Linked DNA regions of Arabidopsis thaliana. The protein of the gene in region 1 interacts with the protein of each later gene in a pairwise test. Each region holds a gene or a part of one and is shown in the gene's direction. Other genes may lie near its edges. The genes, in order: PUB14, SAUR9, AT4G05400 and MPK18.

The links.
Region 2: the proteins of PUB14 (region 1) and SAUR9 interact in a two-hybrid assay, tested with the Arabidopsis thaliana proteins (one large-scale study listed by BioGRID).
Region 3: the proteins of PUB14 (region 1) and AT4G05400 interact in a two-hybrid assay, tested with the Arabidopsis thaliana proteins (one large-scale study listed by BioGRID).
Region 4: the proteins of PUB14 (region 1) and MPK18 interact in a two-hybrid assay, tested with the Arabidopsis thaliana proteins (one large-scale study listed by BioGRID).

What each region holds. Positions count from the first base shown.
Region 1 is NC_003074.8:20,319,339-20,324,554, forward strand, and holds PUB14 (plant U-box 14), read left to right. Parts: upstream 1-2,014; 5' UTR 2,015-2,185; coding exon 2,186-2,467; intron 2,468-2,713; coding exon 2,714-2,830; intron 2,831-2,918; coding exon 2,919-3,332; intron 3,333-3,424; coding exon 3,425-4,510; 3' UTR 4,511-4,682; downstream 4,683-5,216. Other genes in the region: ARA6 (Ras-related small GTP-binding family protein), read left to right, coding at 36-119, 262-356, 453-558, 872-961, 1,066-1,152, 1,403-1,444; ATVPS33 (Sec1/munc18-like (SM) proteins superfamily), read right to left, coding at 4,948-5,037, 5,130-5,216. UniProt on the Arabidopsis thaliana protein: Functions as an E3 ubiquitin ligase with specific E2 ubiquitin-conjugating enzymes. Undergoes auto-ubiquitination.
Region 2 is NC_003075.7:17,088,215-17,091,423, forward strand, and holds SAUR9 (SAUR-like auxin-responsive protein family), read left to right. Parts: upstream 1-1,719; 5' UTR 1,720-1,816; coding exon 1,817-2,131; 3' UTR 2,132-2,659; downstream 2,660-3,209. UniProt on the Arabidopsis thaliana protein: Provide a mechanistic link between auxin and plasma membrane H(+)-ATPases (PM H(+)-ATPases, e.g.
Region 3 is NC_003075.7:2,739,514-2,743,505, forward strand, and holds AT4G05400 (copper ion binding protein), read left to right. Parts: upstream 1-1,646; 5' UTR 1,647-1,742; coding exon 1,743-2,495; 3' UTR 2,496-2,508; intron 2,509-2,644; 3' UTR 2,645-2,686; intron 2,687-2,832; exon of another isoform or gene 2,833-3,228; 3' UTR 3,229-3,436; downstream 3,437-3,992. Other genes in the region: RFNR1 (root FNR 1), read right to left, coding at 1-127, 241-576, 808-861, 944-970; YAO (Transducin/WD40 repeat-like superfamily protein), read right to left, coding at 3,716-3,793, 3,908-3,973.
Region 4 is NC_003070.9:19,969,779-19,976,184, reverse strand, and holds MPK18 (mitogen-activated protein kinase 18), read left to right. Parts: upstream 1-1,791; 5' UTR 1,792-2,026; coding exon 2,027-2,050; intron 2,051-2,258; coding exon 2,259-2,667; intron 2,668-2,763; coding exon 2,764-2,891; intron 2,892-2,981; coding exon 2,982-3,041; intron 3,042-3,377; coding exon 3,378-3,527; intron 3,528-3,615; coding exon 3,616-3,771; intron 3,772-3,890; coding exon 3,891-4,102; intron 4,103-4,236; coding exon 4,237-4,338; intron 4,339-4,544; coding exon 4,545-4,720; intron 4,721-4,793; coding exon 4,794-5,224; 3' UTR 5,225-5,851; downstream 5,852-6,406. UniProt on the Arabidopsis thaliana protein: Mitogen-activated protein kinase (MAPK) that is specifically regulated by PHS1 and MAPKKK20 and mediates signaling that regulates cortical microtubule functions, maybe through regulation of microtubule dynamic instability.

The sequences.
Region 1 (5,216 bases):
ACATACCACTAACTTTTGGATTCACTTGATTGCAGTTAGTTCTATTAGGAGACTCTGGTGTTGGTAAAAGTTGTATTGTCCTTCGATTTGTACGTGGTCAGTTTGACGCTACATCTAAGGTAAGTAAAGCCTTGTTATCTAATTGTCTTTATTGACCATCTGACACCTTTTTAGAACACCATGCTCTGATGTGAGTGAATATTAGACTATTAGAGTATACTTATCTGCCACTAGATCTCAAGACTACTAGCTATGTATCAGGTAACTGTTGGAGCCTCGTTCTTGTCCCAAACTATAGCATTGCAAGACTCTACCACAGTGAAGTTTGAAATATGGGATACAGCAGGACAGGAGAGGTATTAAACCCTTCATGCAGATTTGTATTGCTTATTTTATTAGATAAACGCTTTGCAAACTTACTAGGATTTAACCTGCATTCACTTTATTTTTAGGTATTCTGCTCTTGCACCACTATACTACCGTGGAGCTGGAGTTGCTGTTATTGTGTATGATATAACAAGCCCTGAATCGTTCAAGAAAGCACAGTATTGGGTTAAGGTATGTTTTCAGGGGGTTCAAAAGGTTCCATTTCGTTCATGTTTCTAGGATTCGTGCAATAGCTTCCGAGCTATATCTTTACCAGGACTGAAAATTAGAGTTACAGACAGTCATATAGCCAACAGCACTCCTGTCTGTGTATATAATGGGTATCATTTAGTTGGGCAACTGGTTTACTTCTCTGACATTTTTGTTCCATTAATTTGCACTCGTTGCTACCATGAAGCCATTTGGCACAACTCCGTGCAGGAAAGATATCAACATTATATTGAATCTAGTGCTATTGTTTTACCCCTGCCCATAAATCTAACAGGAACTGCAAAAGCATGGAAGCCCAGATATTGTTATGGCTCTGGTTGGTAACAAAGCTGATCTACATGAAAAAAGAGAAGTACCTACTGAGGTGAGTTTGCGTAAACGTCTTCATCTAGATTCCGTAGCGCATTTTGTTGTCACTTTCATTGTCCTTGCTTCTTCAGTGGTATCACATTTTCAATTTCTTAACAGGATGGAATGGAGCTTGCAGAGAAGAACGGCATGTTCTTCATTGAGACGTCAGCCAAGACAGCCGATAACATAAATCAACTGTTTGAGGTGTGCACTTCTTTCTTGCCTCTGATTTATGATCGATTTTCTTGTCCTCTGCATTTATTGAGATCTTATTATCCGTTTCTTTCATTGCTTTGGAATTGGAGGATGGAAAAGTGATAGGCAGTGATATGCAGCTAGATATGAGATTTAATTTCTTGTAGTTTGTGGAGGATAATAGTTTTGGATGCAGAAAGATGGATTAATACGAAGTATATGAGATTTTAACTTGTTGTAGTGTACACATGTCTGATAGGAAATTGGCAAGAGGCTACCTCGTCCTGCTCCTTCGTCATGATTGGAGTGTTGAATCATCTCATCTTCAGCCATGTCTTCAGACTACTAATCTTTCCATACTTTTTAATGTAATGTTTCAAAACAATATTTCTCTATCTGTTAAGTCAAGTGTGTTGTATAATGTGAAGATTTGAGTTTGAAACTGGGGATATTACGAACCTCAAAAGTGGAAACCCAAGTTATATCAAGCAATGGATCATCAGTACATATTTTAGTGGGATTCATCAGAAGTAGAGAAGAGTAAAGCTTCATTCAAATGATTCAATGCATGTATAGTTTGTGGGAGAGACTATTGCAGCCAATTCTAACAAAACCTAAATCAAGAAATTATTTGACAATTTCAAAGAGACTAACAAACAGGTAGAGAAATCCATTATACAAAGGATTTGACTTTTGATGATTTCAGATGCAAATACAAACTTAAAAACTTTATATATTTGTATTGGTCAACCTTAATATCATAAATTTATAGTTGAGGCAATAAATAAATATGAAAATCTAAATGCAATGTTTAAATATTAAAATTTAACGGCAAAATAAAATAGAAAAAATTATGATTGGTCTGAAAATGGACAAAATGAGACTTTTCATGTCCAAATAGGTGTTTATTGTCACGTTGATGAGAAGACTATTTCGTTCCATAGCATTTCTGTTCCTCCTCTTGGTTTTTTGGGTTTCTTCTTCCTCGTCTTGGTTTCGTTAAAACCCTTTTGAAGCCCTCTGGAACAGTAAAATCTGAGGGATGGGATTAACGAATTGTTGTTCCCACGAGGAGCTAATGAGTCGACTCGTTGACTCCGTTAAAGAAATATCAGGGTTTTCATCTTCAAGGGGTTTTATTGGGAAGATCCAAGGCGATCTTGTTCGTAGGATCACGCTTCTCAGCCCTTTCTTCGAGGAATTGATTGACGTCAATGTTGAATTGAAAAAGGATCAGATTACAGGGTTTGAGGCTATGAGAATCGCTCTTGATTCAAGTCTTGAGCTTTTTCGATCGGTTAATGGAGGAAGCAAGCTTTTTCAGGTTACTCATTTACTTGCTCTGTTTTATTTGTATTTATATCTTTGGTAGCTGGCAAAAGTTGGCAATTTCCTTTGTTTTCTCTTCGAGGGTTTAAGATTTTGGTGTTTAGGGTTTTGTTGTTTGTCTTTGTCTTCTTTAACAATATCAAGAATTTGGGTTTTGTCTTGTTTCTCTTATTTTGGGATGAATCAAATTGAGTCTGATAACAAGAAGTTGAGACCTTTTTCGTGTTCTCTCTGCTGGCAGCTTTTCGATAGAGATTCTCTTGTGGAGAAGTTCCGTGACATGACAGTGGAGATAGAAGCAGCGTTAAGTCAGATTCCTTATGAGAAGATTGAGGTATCAGAGGAAGTCAGAGAACAGGTACTTCTCAATGCATTGATTTAAGGAGGGCTATATTTTTCTGTTGATTAAAATCTGAATTCTAATGATAAGCTCTCTGAATTTGTAGGTTCAGCTTCTGCATTTTCAGTTCAAGAGAGCAAAAGAAAGATGGGAGGAGTCTGATCTACAGCTTAGCCATGATCTAGCTATGGCAGAGAATGTGATGGATCCTGACCCTATAATCCTCAAAAGACTTTCACAAGAGCTCCAACTTACTACCATTGATGAGCTGAAGAAAGAATCGCATGCGATACATGAGTATTTTCTTTCATATGATGGAGATCCTGATGACTGTTTCGAGAGGATGTCTTCACTTCTTAAAAACCTGGTAGACTTTGTAACAATGGAAAGTTCAGACCCTGATCCATCCACTGGCAGCAGAATCGTTTCGAGACATCGTTCTCCTGTTATACCAGAGTATTTTCGGTGTCCGATATCACTTGAACTGATGAAGGATCCTGTTATCGTCTCCACTGGACAGGTCTGGCTTTGCAAGTTTCGTTGTGCATTGTAGTGAATTTGATTATTAAACTTGTGTATTTGTTGTTATAGCTGAATTTTTCGACCTTGCAGACATATGAAAGATCATCAATTCAGAAGTGGCTTGATGCTGGTCATAAAACATGTCCGAAATCTCAGGAGACACTTTTACATGCTGGATTAACCCCTAATTATGTGTTAAAGAGTCTCATTGCTTTGTGGTGTGAAAGCAACGGCATTGAGCTACCGCAAAATCAAGGGAGCTGTAGAACCACAAAAATAGGAGGAAGCAGCTCTTCAGATTGTGATCGAACATTTGTCCTTTCCTTGTTAGAGAAATTGGCCAACGGTACTACAGAACAGCAAAGAGCTGCAGCTGGAGAATTAAGGTTACTAGCCAAGAGGAACGTGGATAACAGAGTTTGTATCGCTGAGGCTGGAGCCATACCACTCCTTGTAGAGCTTCTATCCTCACCAGATCCTCGGACTCAGGAACATTCTGTGACAGCTCTTCTGAATCTTTCCATAAATGAAGGGAACAAAGGAGCCATTGTTGATGCAGGAGCCATAACGGATATAGTAGAAGTCCTAAAGAACGGAAGCATGGAAGCTAGAGAGAACGCTGCTGCAACCCTTTTCAGTTTATCTGTTATAGATGAAAACAAAGTGGCAATAGGTGCTGCTGGAGCTATCCAAGCACTTATAAGCTTGCTTGAGGAAGGAACCCGAAGAGGCAAAAAAGATGCTGCTACAGCGATTTTCAACTTATGCATATACCAGGGGAACAAATCAAGGGCGGTTAAAGGCGGTATTGTTGACCCTCTGACCAGATTACTGAAAGATGCAGGTGGCGGAATGGTGGATGAGGCTCTGGCCATTTTAGCAATTCTTTCAACTAACCAAGAAGGGAAAACAGCGATAGCTGAAGCAGAATCTATCCCGGTTTTGGTTGAGATTATAAGGACAGGGTCACCAAGGAACCGGGAAAATGCTGCAGCAATACTTTGGTATCTATGTATTGGGAATATAGAAAGGCTAAATGTAGCAAGAGAGGTTGGTGCAGATGTGGCCTTGAAGGAACTTACTGAGAATGGCACTGATAGAGCAAAGAGGAAAGCTGCGAGCTTGTTGGAGCTTATTCAGCAAACCGAAGGTGTTGCAGTAACTACTGTTCCATGAAAGCCTCGCTCTTTTGGAATGTTATTTGTTTCAGTGTAGATTATATGTATAGGAACCTTTGGTTTGAGTCTGACATAAGAATCTTATGTAATGATGTTATATGTAATTTTCGACTCAGAGTTGTGTATATCTATTTGATATTTAAAAGTAAAAGTAACCCTATTATTTACTGTTTCACACTCTCGATTTGCTTGAGAATTAGGGAGAAGTAAAGCCGTATATAACTAGCAGAAGTTGAAGTGAAAGGTTGTACCAAGAAAACATTATTGAATTTGTATAATCACGCTGTATCTCAACCATTTAATATACACATACACATACGCATACCATTCACTCTGCAACCACAATGATCCAGAAAAATAAACAAAGACATACAAAAAATGAATTAATAAACACACTCGAAAGAGAAAAGATGAACATAACGCTCAGTTTACGGATCAGCCTAGTTTTTCCATGAATGTTTCTATCAACGTTGCGCCGTTGACGATTTTTGTTGTGGCAACAATCAAATCATAAGCCATTCCTTCCTGATAAAATTTTATGCAGAAGCAAGAATGGAGGATTCAGCGGACAAAAAGAGTGTTTTTTTTATGGTAAACTTTTGAAGTTTGATATATACCTTAGAGGCGAGATACCGTAAAGCAGAGATTTCAGCAAATGTTACACCTCCAATGAAGACAACAAGAACAATTGAGCGTCTTCCATC
Region 2 (3,209 bases), on another chromosome or scaffold:
ATTAAAATGATAGGCAAAAAGCAAAAAAAGGAACGAAAAATAAGAAGTTGAATATATAAATGGAAAAAAGTACGTGGAACACAAGGCGTCGGAGGAATGAAATGGGAACTTGCATGGATTTGATACTGTCAATTAAACAAAAGATAGGTTCCAACCTAAGCATTTGTTTTCGTTTTCAGATTTTCACATGGGGACGAAGTTTGCTTAGCTACATCTTTTCCCATATGTTTTTATAAACATATTTCCGATAAACTATTTAGATCATTATATTTTTAGTTACCAAATTAGTTAACCCATCAAATTTTCATATTTTAATCTTCCGTAAATGATATTAATGGTTTGTAAGTTCTAACTCTTTGACTGAATTTTGAAATGACCCCAAAATGTTTGTAGATATACAATTAACGTTCTCAAATTCCGCTGATTTTTCCGCATGGCACTTATTATATATACTGTATTTTTGTCGGTGACCAACATAATGTTAAGTTCCGCTTGGTCAGTAGATATAAAATATAATGTCATATGAACCTCGTAATAACCCGTATATCCTCTCAATGAATTTGGTTAACCAAGAAAATATAAAACTACCAAACTACATTAATCATTTGGTGTTATTTTGTACATCTTAATTTATAGACAAAAAATAAAATAAAAGAATGGGCATTAAAGTGTTGGCAACTCTACTTGTAGCAAAAGACATGTGATCTTGTAGTTGCAAGTACGTACTTTGGTTTATATATCTCTATACTTCGTCCGTAATCCTTTTGTAAACGGACTCAATTTATGACAAAACGGGTATCTAAATCTATTAACGGCCATATGGTATTTTTTGGTTATTTATTCATATATTAGTTGTAATAAAATTGGAAGTTTCAGTAGAGACAAATTCTGAAGAAGAGTTTATAACAAGTGTAGAGAAAACAGACACTACTTGTATTAATTTGTAGAGTTGTGTCTAAATAAAAACACAAAATAGAGACAATGTAGGGTAGTGTTTATATAGTCCCTACCTTATTTATAAGACCCTCCAAAAATTTTATTGTATGCATTCTTTTACATATTTTTGGCCTTTCCCTTATGGCTTGTCTCTAAAACTGCTTTGTTTCCTACATCCCACATGATATTTGCTTTCACATTACATATATAAAAAAGAATATTTTGATGGATTGATATAGTGGTATAGGAAAATTTGGGAGCATTGTTATATCTTTAGATAGTCCTGAGTTTAATTCTTCATTGATGCAAAAAAAAAAAAAAAAAAACTTAGACCATTTGGCTACTCTATCTAGGCCATAATATAACAATTTGGCCTTGTAAGAAAAAACAATAACCCTTGAAAATAGTTGGACGTTGTATTTTTATGTCTTGTGATAAAAGGAAAATGTTCAAATTTTGAAGAGATCATATAAGATAATGTACGAATAAAAACAAGTGTTTGGACATTTATGAAATTTAATAATTATATTTGATGTCATATGTTACGTACTTACGCGGCTTTGATTTGATCACCAAGGAAACACTTCATGTGGTTCTGCATGAATTAGTCGTTGTTGTGTATATAATACATATAACCTAGTCACAAATCATCCAAAAAGTCATAAGTAAACCTAATAAATCTATGTTAAAAGCATATATGAGATTTTTCTTATTAAATTTAATAAACACTTCCAAAATTTTCTCTCTCATTGTGCCCTTAAATACCCCTCCATATTCCTCCCCACCACCTTCACATCCACACCTTTCTTCAAACATACCAAACTCTCTCTCCCTCTTCCCTCTTCTCTCTAGCCAAGTTAGATTTCAATAAGGTCAAATCATGGCGATAAAGAAGTCGAACAAAGCGGCGTTGTCTCAAGCAGCATCTCTAAAGCAAATCTTGAAGAGGTGCTCAAGTCTAGGAAAGAAGAATCAAGGTAATTGCTACTTCAACGACGTGCCAAAAGGTCACTTCCCGGTCTACGTCGGTCAACACCGAAGTCGCTATGTGGTCCCAATCTCGTGGCTAGATCATCATGAGTTCCAGTCACTCCTCCAACTAGCCGAGGAAGAGTTTGGTTTCGAGCACGAGATGGGTCTCACTATCCCTTGTGATGAAGTCGTCTTTCGTTCTCTCATCTCAATGTTCAGATAATACTCGATATCGAGGACTGGTCTTCATTAGCTCAACTGGTCATTCTCTCAAGAAATATTCCCCTTTTAAGGAAGTAAGAGTTTGATCACATTGTCACACTCCAGACTCGGAAGATCAAATCCTCAAAGTTATTACCAAGAAACAAGAAATAAGGAATATATGCAATCTATTATTTAGGTTTTTTTTTTCTTTGCTAAGAAGACGGAAGCAAATGGCGGGGATCGCGTTAAGTATCGACTCAAGATTTGTGGCTATATTAATATACCTAACAGTTTTTTTTAATTAACCACTCTTTTGGGATTTTTTTTTCCTTCTATATATTTTCGGTGCCTTCTTTTATATATTTTATTTTCAAATATTTTGTATATTAGTTTGGATGGAAGACTTTTCCCTCAAGTCAACGTGTATTGTTGACCGTTGGTTCTTGAGAGGAATAGCTAGTTTTATTTGTATTAATTTTTTATTCAAGAATTTTCATTCTAAAACTGTTGTTAATTATTATCTTCTATAAAACCTTCATAAGTTAACTTAACTAGTGTTACAAAATAATGATTGATTAGCAAATAAATTTGGTTTCAATAAAATAAAAACTAAATACAACATATTAAAAAATATTATAAAAAAAACATTCACGGTCTATCCAGTATCAACCATAACTGGCCAAACATCAACGATTTACCATTTGTAGTTGCAATCTTGTTTCTACTTCATCTGATATTTGTAGTTGCAATCTTGTTTCTACTTCATCTGAGCAAAGCGTAATGAAAACTATTTATATTTCGATCTGTAGACTTTAATCGTAAGAAGAAGGAAAAAAACTAATCGTCATGAGAAGACGATAAGTCGATAAGTATGATCCAAAGTCTACAGTAATTTCTGTTTGAGTGGGGTTCTTATTGATAACAATAATTGCTTTTTCGTCGTTTCGTTTTCATGATTTATCATTTGTTCCAATTGCCTCGTTTTTGTTTTACTATATCAAAAACTCATTTTAATTTGGTAAGGCCGCCTTCAAGATTTGTGTCGATATATAATAATACAAGCAAAGCTTATCACATAGTTATATTTAAGTGATAAT
Region 3 (3,992 bases), on another chromosome or scaffold:
CATAGTAAATAGCTCGACGGACACATAGACTAGCTGTTTTGCCATCAAAAGAATCTCCATACCGTGTTGATGCAATCGAATAAAGGCGAACGTTATGAGGTGCACCAGGTTTCTTGGGATTCTCACCCTACGAGTCAAGAATAGAGCACATATAATCAGATATGTTACCAAATCTGAGAGACCAAATCATTTATCAGCAAAAGGCAATGCGTTATGAGCAATAGAGTTAAAATCACTTACAGGAGGAATGACTCCATAGCTTTGTCCTTCCCAGTAAGGAACATTACCATCATGATCAATAACAATGTGGCAAGTCTCTCCAGGTGCTTGTGGACCAACAATTCTCTCAACCGAAACAATAGTTGCAGTATAAGGCTCCTTAGGCCTAAACAAGTTTAAGGGAGTCTCTTTGGGATCTTCAAGTTCTAGAGGAGTAACCAAGACTTTGGATTTGCTTGATTGCTGAAGTGACATGCATATTGTGGACCTTTTTTTCACACCTAAGCTTCTAGATTTCGAATCTAGTCTCAGCAGAGGAGGACCCCATGACTTATCAGTGAAGCTTATACTTTGAACCTGAGGTACAAAATAATTGAGATTCAATATCATTGCTCAAGAGTTGCAAAATCCAGTTTTTTGTAATCTTCTACTTGTAAAGACTATACCTTTCAATACCAAATTCACAACAAGTCTACATCAGAACTAAACAACACAATAAGAAAACCAAAAGACAAAAACTTTGAGGACCATGTAATCATCTCAACGACAAAGATCGGTAATCTAGTGATCTAGATCGTTTTTGCTCACCTTAATCATAGATCGGCTCGACCCATCAATTCTAGTTGGAAGTGCAACGGACATCTAAAATCAAAAACCAAACTTTCATTAAATCCGAAACTTAATCTCAGGAACCAAAAAGGTTTAGAATGGTAAAAATGAAAACCTGAGAAGGAGTAGTTGAGAGAGCCATAGCAATGGAGAAAAGAGACGATAATTCTCCAGATGAATATTAATAATTGATCTCACAATCGAGAGGAAAAAAATGATTTGAGGAACAAAAGAAACAGAGGATGATTCTGGGTTTATAGTAAGAAGGTGAGGGGAAGAAGAAGATCCTTTCAAGGCCCAGAAGAGACAACAACAGAGCAGCCCATACTGACTGCAAATTTCTCAACTTTTTTTTGGCTCTCGAGAGATCTTAGTGGACAAATTGCTTTTTGTCTGTGTTGGATCTTCTTTACTTTTCACCACGTTCTTTGTATTTTACTTGTATTTGGTACTTGGAGGTTACAGTTTCCAAAGCCAAATTCGTTGTTAATAGTGAGAAATTTAACAAGTTGCATGAGACTGAATTCAGCAAATTTCTTCTCAGTTCTGGAAAAGTAAAATCGAATTTGTTTTCAGAAAGAAGCTTCGGTTATGTGGTGGTAAGCCGAAACAATAACCAAAAATTAAATCGAATTGAACCAAATCAATTCAAAATTAACGTCGGTTCTCATTCGGTATACAAAGAAATGGAAAACCGAACCAAGAAACCAAATTGGAGTTTTCTAAAAGACAAGAAAACCCTCGGTTTAAGCTGAATTTACAGTTTTGTGACATCGTGATTTATTTAACTTGATGTAAAACGACGTCGTTAGTTCAGTGTTCTTCTTCCACAGTCGAGAGTCGAAAACCCTAATCTCTGTACTCAAGCAACATTTTCAGACGAAAGCAATCAGAAACTCAGGTGAATCAGAAGCATGATTCGAGTTACGAAACCAAAAGCGATCATCGAATCACTGAGTTACCATCTTATCCAAAGATGCTCCGCAAGTGGAACTCCTAAAGGAAAAGCAAAGCTGAAGACAGGTCAGCCATTGAAGCGTAACAAACTCTCCATCAAGAAAGGTGGTGGCGGCGGCGGAGCACCTGTTGAAGGAGAGGAAGCAGTTAAAGGAAAAGGTAGAATTTCCGATGAGAAGCAGAAACTCTACGAGCAATGCTTAAACGCTCCTTGTCCTGTTCGCTACTTGACCCCCCAAGAGATCGAGCGTGAGGCGCAACGTGAGAAGCTAGGTTTGATTAGTAAAGAGAAGCAACGAGATATGGAGATCCAGAAGAAAGGAGGAGCTGCTTCAATGGGAGTCACCGATGAGCCGATGCGAATTGGGACGCCAGGTTTGGATTACATTTCGTTAGGGATTTTTGAAGCTGAGGAATTGCCTAAGTATAAGCTTACGGAAGAAGATGGAGAGAGACTTGCGAAGGAGTATAGTAAAGTGTTGATGAGAGAGCATAGAGAGCGTCGTGCAGCTGAAACTGCGCTTTTGAATTTGAAGAAATCTGCTATTGAGGCATTGCCGGAGAATCTGAAGAAGGCGGCGTTAGAGCCTGATTTGACACCGTTTCCGGCGAATCGAGGTATGGCTACTCTTACACCGCCTATTGAAGGGTATCTTGAGAAGGTTATGGATGCAGCTAAGAAGAGTTCAAGTAAAGAGAAGTTGAGATGATTTCGTTTAAAAGGTTAGAGATTTTGTCTTATCTCTTGCTTTTGCTTTGGAGATGAGCTTTGAATGCTTGTGTTTCGAACAATGGAATGATTCAGGATTTAAGAATGATGGTTAGTAGTTTACTGAGTCTTGGGTTTACTTTGTTGTAGAAAGTGTCTGAAATAAAGAGAAGTTGAGATGAGTCAATAAAGGTTAGAGATTTTTGTCTTATGCTTATCGTTTTCTCTTGTTTCTGATTTGGATATGAGATTTAACAGTTTGTTTTTCGAACAATGGAATGATTCAGGGTTTAGGATTGATGGTTGGTAGTATTGATCTCTGATGTCAAAGCTGTGTTCTTGGGTTTACTTTGTTGTAGAAAATATCTCAAAACTGATGGTTAGCTAGATTTCAGGTAGTATGATACTTATTGGTTAGTTTGAGATCGAGTTATATGCATATTAGCAAATAAGTGAATGAGAATCACTCACTTGTACATGAGTTAGTGTTTGCAATGTTAAAATGGAAACTTTTGGAAGCATGACCTTCCTCTGGAACTTCTCTGCATATAGGCTCGAGTCTTTGGATTATTATGTATCATTTTCGTTTTTTTTGCAGGATATGTTCTTGTTTAGTTATTCTTTCAATGCTGTTTGCATTTTTCTTGTTTCAAGTCTTCATTTTGTGGTATTCTATGTATGTTTTGGATATTTGGAACTTTCTTATCAATTCTCTGCTGGTTTTTCTTATCCAGTTGAAGCTATTAGTCAGAATGGAGCAGCAACGAGACCAAGAGACATCAAGAAATTGTCTCTAGGGATTCTAAGCTTGACTTAAGAGAATTCATTCAAGTAGTAGGCTCTTGTCTTTTTTGTTTGGAAAAGCAATCTTCTTTTCGCCGGATAAATTACGATCAAGTCTGTGTTCACTATGGATCTTGGTTTAATAATTTGCCTTTTCATATACTTATCTTCAACATTTGGGAAAACGAAACAAAAAGCTTTACTGAGAGAATGAAAAAATTGGGAACTGTTATCCTCTTTGATTCTTCAGAGCCTCAAAATGATAAGTTCTTATCTCTCGTATTAAGAAAAAATGGTACAAGGAACAAACAAAAAAGGGAGCAAAAACTTCAAGAGCTACAAGGAAATGTAATCCCTATATGACTTGCGATTAGATCTTTGGCTTTTTAGCAACTCAAAACTATCCATAACAACGCTTCATTTATCCCAATGAAATACTTATGCCAGTCTTAAGGGATGTATTGCGACACCATTTTGCGCAGATTTTAAGCATCCCCATCTTCCAAATCGAGTTTCCTGCCATGTCGATTTCACAAAACACGATCAGTTTTGAGATTAGCAATCACACAGACAAGAGGACAAAGATAGAAAAAAAGAAGAGGGAAGAGAACATAAGAGATGATCACATACCTGTCCAACACCGGCAATCAGAAATTTACCCGATTTTGCAAAAGCCAAAGAGTTGACAAATCCAGTCTGTAAGATCAAACAAGGC
Region 4 (6,406 bases), on another chromosome or scaffold:
AATGAAATTATGTTGTTTTGGCCAAGTTGATCAAAGTGAGTCCTTTTCTTGGTGTGTGCCCTTTACCACATGCAACTTCTTCTCTCACTGGACCACATTTACACATTATATTTTGGTTTATTATTAGGATGCATTGTCTTTTATTCATCAACATTATTATATTTGCACTAATAATATAGAGTTGTTGGCAACCAAAAGTTAAGAAAACAATAATATATAGTTGTGCACAAATTATCATTATTTATGGGTGATCCCTTTTTTCTTCTATCATTATATATGGTTCATGGAATTTTAATAAGATGTAACTCAAATAAATAAACAAACAAAATAAATCTGCTTGGTGGAGATATTTTGGCTCCTCCAGTCAAAACTCTAAAACATACATACACGAAAAGCATGATTCATGTGATGAATGGTAATATTGTGTCCACTCTGTTGAATTCTGACTCATGATTATATATATATATATATATATCTTCGAATTATTAAACTTGCAATTCAAAATATTATATATATCATTTTGAAAAACCATTAAAACTATTTTAAAAATAGATATGCTGGTTATATATATTATGCAGAGCCTGGTCTAAATAGATAGAACCAGTCAACCATCATTTATATTTATCTTTGGCCGATAATTATTTTAAAATGCGCACTTAGTCAAAAGAGAGTAAAATTATGATTTTAAAACCGAAAGTAGAAGAAAATGAAAAGCAATGAAATATGCAAAAAGGATCAACTTTAGTTATAAGTTATAACGCCTTAAAATATTGACAATAAATTGACACATGCACCACCTACATCGTCGTATAGTGTGAAATTATATGGAGTATGATAATTTGAAATTATGATATTTTGTACTTTAGATAATGAACCAACTTTGGATTTGAATGCCTCAGATACAAATGAATAATAAGATGTTGGATTTGTTTTAATCAAGATCAGTTATAATATTATCATAATCTTCACCTTTTTGTGGATTTGCCCCTATTGTGATAAACTTTTAATATGAGCCAGACACTAAATATGTTGGTCTTTTCAATAAATACAAAAGCCAAATTGTGTAAATTGACATGTGAATATTAGTTTCACACGAATTGCAAAATTATTAATCTATTTATTTTATTTTATTTTCTATCAAATACTAAGTCATATACCAATGAGGATGGCAGTTTTTTTTTTTCTTTTGATTTTGTTTTTATCATCCCATAGTATCAAGCAAACAACTTGACACTTGGAAGGTCTTTTTCTCAAGGTTAGTTGATTTACATGGAATAAATGTTCATCAAAGATGGTATTTTATCCTAATATATTAATCGTGTATCGTCTTTACCAAAATAAATTAAAATCTAAGACAAATATCCTTCAACAATATTTATTTACATATGAATTAGTCAATTGTATATAGATTTTTCAATCTTAAAAATTTAAATCAAGGAATATAATAAGCAAAATTGAGATAATGTTAATAATATTCCTTTCAGTGGTACGAGAAATACTATCACGTGGGGGTTAAATTGACCACTTATCAAAAAGAATGGTTAGAATCAAAACAAAATTAAGATAGGGGTCAAAATCGGAATTTAAGAAAAATAAAACGGTCCAAGTCCAGCAACAGGTGTCTAAACCATTGGGTCATTTTCCAAAAAGGTCGTCCACAGACCACAGTGGGAGAAAACCAATATTTACTTTACCCTCAAATGTTGTCTAAAACTACGAAACTGCCACTATCTGGGATTTGTCACACCCGTACGCAATAAGTACCACGAGAAATTGCTAGAATTAGAAATTATTTTTATTCAAATTTAGAAAAAATATCTCAAATTCGGTATTTTTAAAATCCTCTCTCGTCTTCTTCTTCTTCGATCGCTGGATCTAGGTTTTGCTCTTCTCTGTATCGTCTTCTTCACAGACTGGGCTTGATTTTGAGTTCTTCTAGTTTTCGGATTCTTAGCAATCTAGGTTTTTTTTTTTTTTTTACTTTTCGAAAAGCCGATCCAGATTTTTGATAATTTTGAAGAAGAAGATGCAACAAAATCAAGTGAAGAAGGTTCGCTTCTTGCTCTCTATCTCTCTCAATCATGCTTTGATTCTAAATGTGGGAAACAGAGGATAAAGTCTTATCCTTTTACAAATTTAAAGACAAAAAAAATAAAATCTTTCCTTTTTCAATTGCAATTAGGTTTGGTTTTGTTGCATGAGCATAAATAAGATGTGTGGATAAAGTTTGTGTTTTGTCTACTTTTGTGATTCACTAGGGCACGAAAGAGATGGAGTTTTTCACAGAGTATGGTGATGCAAACAGATATAGGATTCTGGAAGTTATTGGTAAAGGAAGCTATGGAGTTGTGTGTGCAGCTATTGATACACATACTGGAGAGAAAGTTGCTATTAAGAAGATTAATGATGTCTTTGAACATATTTCTGATGCGCTTCGTATTCTCCGTGAAGTGAAGCTTCTTCGGCTTTTACGGCATCCTGATATTGTGGAGATCAAAAGCATTATGCTGCCTCCTTCTAAGAGAGAGTTTAAAGATATCTATGTTGTGTTTGAGCTCATGGAATCAGATCTTCATCAAGTTATTAAAGCTAATGATGATTTGACTCGTGAACACCACCAGTTTTTCCTTTATCAGATGCTTCGTGCTTTAAAGTTCATGCATACAGGTGTGATTCGTTTCATTGTTTCAGACCTGTGAATCTTGGCAGCATGTTTTGTATTTTTTCTGGTTGTAACTTACTGTTATCCTTTTGTTCATGCAGCTAATGTTTATCACCGTGATCTTAAGCCAAAGAATATACTTGCAAACGCAAATTGCAAGTTGAAAGTTTGTGACTTTGGATTGGCTAGAGTAGCGTTTAATGATACTCCTACGACAGTCTTTTGGACGGTTAGTAGCCTCGAGGAGGAGACCTTTTGTTTGTTAGCCGTTAATTTGTGTGTTTGATTTTTCTCTCTGACTCATTTAATCGCAATGCAGGACTATGTTGCCACAAGATGGTATAGAGCACCTGAGCTCTGTGGATCATTCTTTTCGAAGGTAGGTGTTACTGTGGATTTCTTCTATGCATTCTAATTGGCTATGCTTAGGTCTTATGAACAGATTAGTCTTCTTTAGTGTAGAATATATGCAGATTAGTGTTAATAGCTGATATTTGATGTTACTTGTATAAGTATAGAGTTGTGCCCCAGTGGGATATTAAAATAATTCTTGTTCAGGGATGACTTGAACTCTCCCCGAAGTTGAAAATCTATGAATCAGGTAACCTTGTATCAGGTTATGTTCATTGAGTGGTTTCTTTTGCATCTGCAACTTCATATTCATGGATTTTGTTTTTTCATCATAATCTGATTTACAGTCAAAATTATTCTGCAGTACACTCCAGCTATCGACGTTTGGAGCATTGGCTGCATCTTTGCAGAGGTACTAACAGGGAAGCCATTGTTTCCGGGAAAAAGTGTTGTCCATCAGTTGGAGTTGATTACTGATCTTCTTGGCACACCAAAATCAGAAACAATTTCTGGAGTATGATCCGTTTTTCTTCTTCACATTAATTTCTGGAGTACGTATATATATTGAACTGTATAGCTAAACATTTATTTCTCTGATGCAGGTTCGTAATGATAAAGCTAGAAAATACTTGACTGAAATGAGGAAGAAAAATCCTGTCACCTTCTCGCAAAAATTTTCCAAAGCAGATCCATTAGCACTCCGTCTTTTGCAGAGGCTGTTGGCTTTCGATCCAAAGGATCGACCGACTCCTGCAGAGGTCTCTTTTCTGTCTTTTTCACTTTGTAATTAGATTCTTCTTCGGTCCTCTTTGTAAAGCTGCCTTGCGTCTTGTGTGTATCTCTCTGCTTACTTTGCTATCTTTTTGTTTTTCGATAGGCATTAGCTGATCCTTACTTCAAGGGTCTTTCTAAGATTGAAAGAGAACCTTCAAGTCAGCAAATCTCGAAAATGGAGTTTGAATTTGAGAGGCGAAGGTTGACAAAGGACGACATTAGAGAACTAATATACAGAGAAATACTGGAGTACCATCCTCAGTTGCTCAAGGACTATATGAGCGGATCTGAGGGGTCTAATTTTGTATATCCTAGGTTTGAATTTCTTCCTACCTTTTATTATTATTTACCAAATGAAACATTTCTTGTTTCTTTCTCCCGTTGAATTTATGTCCAATCGCGTACCTCTGCCTGGCTTTTTATTCATGTTTTTACTTTTTCACTTGCAGCGCCATTGGACATCTTAGACAGCAGTTCACTTACTTAGAGGAAAATAGCAGTAGAAATGGGCCGGTCATACCTCTCGAGAGGAAACACGCATCACTACCGCGGTATGTTTTCTCATTCTTTATATACAAGTCGACTGTAGGGAATATGCTTATTCTTTTGTTCTTTCTTCTGCTACTGCTTAGCATTTGTGAAGCATATGGTCGAAGGCCTCAAGCAAACTTTCATATGTTCTCTACTCTTCTAATTCTAAAAACTTTCATATGTTCTCTACTCTTCTAATTCTAATAGATATGATTGTTTTCCACAGGTCTACGGTTCACTCAACTGTAGTCCATTCCACCTCGCAACCCAACTTGGGTGCAACAGATAGTAGACGTGTTTCTTTCGAGCCTTCAAAAAATGGAGCTTCTTCTGCAGGACATCCATCAACTTCCGCGTATCCTACTAAATCCATCGGACCTCCACCAAGAGTTCCACCATCAGGTCTCAATCATATCTCCAAATATTATTTCCTAAAGTTAGAAACTTCAACTAACTTTCACCCTATGTTTTACAGGTAGACCAGGTCGTGTTGTGGAATCATCTGTATCTTATGAGAATGGCAGGAACCTCAAAGAAGCTTATTTCAGAAGCGCGGTTTCATCTCCTCATTGCTACTTCCGACCAAACACCATGACAAACCCGGAGAACCGCAACATAGAAGCTTCGTCTTTTCCACCAAAGCCACAAAATCCTGTCCACCAATTCAGTCCCACTGAGCCACCAGCTGCTACAACTAACCAAGCAGACGTTGAGACTATGAACCACCCAAACCCTTACTTTCAACCACAGCTCCCGAAGACAGATCAATTAAACAACAACACACATATGGCCATTGATGCTAAGCTGTTGCAGGCACAATCACAGTTTGGTCCAGCAGGAGCTGCAGCGGTTGCAGTAGCAGCACACCGGAACATAGGCACAATTAGTTACAGCGCAGCATCATAGACAACACTTCAGACAGATCTTTAACCACCACATCTTCCTCCACCAGGTGATTCTCTAGTTTTTATGTAAGTATTATTCAGTCCAGGCTCTGATATGAACTACGTTGCAATGATATAAGAAAGACTTTTATTTAGTTGTAACTCTCCAGAACAAGATCGCCTTGGATTAGTCTGATTGCGGGTCAGTCCCGGTTATTGTTTCGGTTATCTTGTTGGCTCCATAATCTTTGAATTTGCCATAAGCGTAGTTCACCGTAGAGAAGAATATCGTGGTGATTATATACTTCTTAAACTTCTTAATCGGTCCCATTAGTCTTTATTGTTCTTCAACAAAAAAAGGAATCTCTTTGGTTATTGGAAAATATGGTCTTGATTGGTTAATATAGACAACATTATGCCGAAGAATGTGGAAGTAACAAAATAAAACATTGGTCCTTAGATTTTTCTTCTGTAAACCACTCTTTCTCAGATTATATAATTAGTCAATTTTATTCAATGGTTACAAAAAGAAAAAAAAAAACTTGCCAATGAAAAAAAGGAATGCTCTTGACCTCAAGACTCATCATGGTTAACAATGAAATTCGCCTTAACTTCGAAATTTTGACGCCGTTGAAATGTTTATAATTTACCCGCCAAGTTTGTAGGCCTGAGTTTAGCCCATTAAAGGTAATATTAGGCGTCCATTAATCATAACGAATATCACTTTCTCAATTTAACAAGTCATGAGAAAGTGTACACATTTGATCTATTTAATATTTATTAACCAAAAAGGAAGCAAATCAATTATTTCGTTACGTGACGGTGGCATTAAGCATCTTGCATTGAATGATCCGTTATATATAATCTCAGGTTTTTTTTGGGTTGAAATGATGATATTAAATTTTAGGTTGACATGTACTTATCTTTGTAATCAACTAATTAAATATTTGAACTGACATGTCTACGTTATATCATAAATAAACCAGGTGTTTTAATTAAATACCACGATTAACCTTCTAAAATAAGGAAAATCATATTTTATTCGTCAATCACTATAATTTGGAAAACGATGCAATATATTTATTTCTTTCTTTATACACATACTTAATTAATTATCAAAATTTCATTCTATTTTAATTGATCTGAAATGTCCTAATTTAGTAGAGAGCTAATAAATAGACTCACATTTATGTTGAAAAACAAA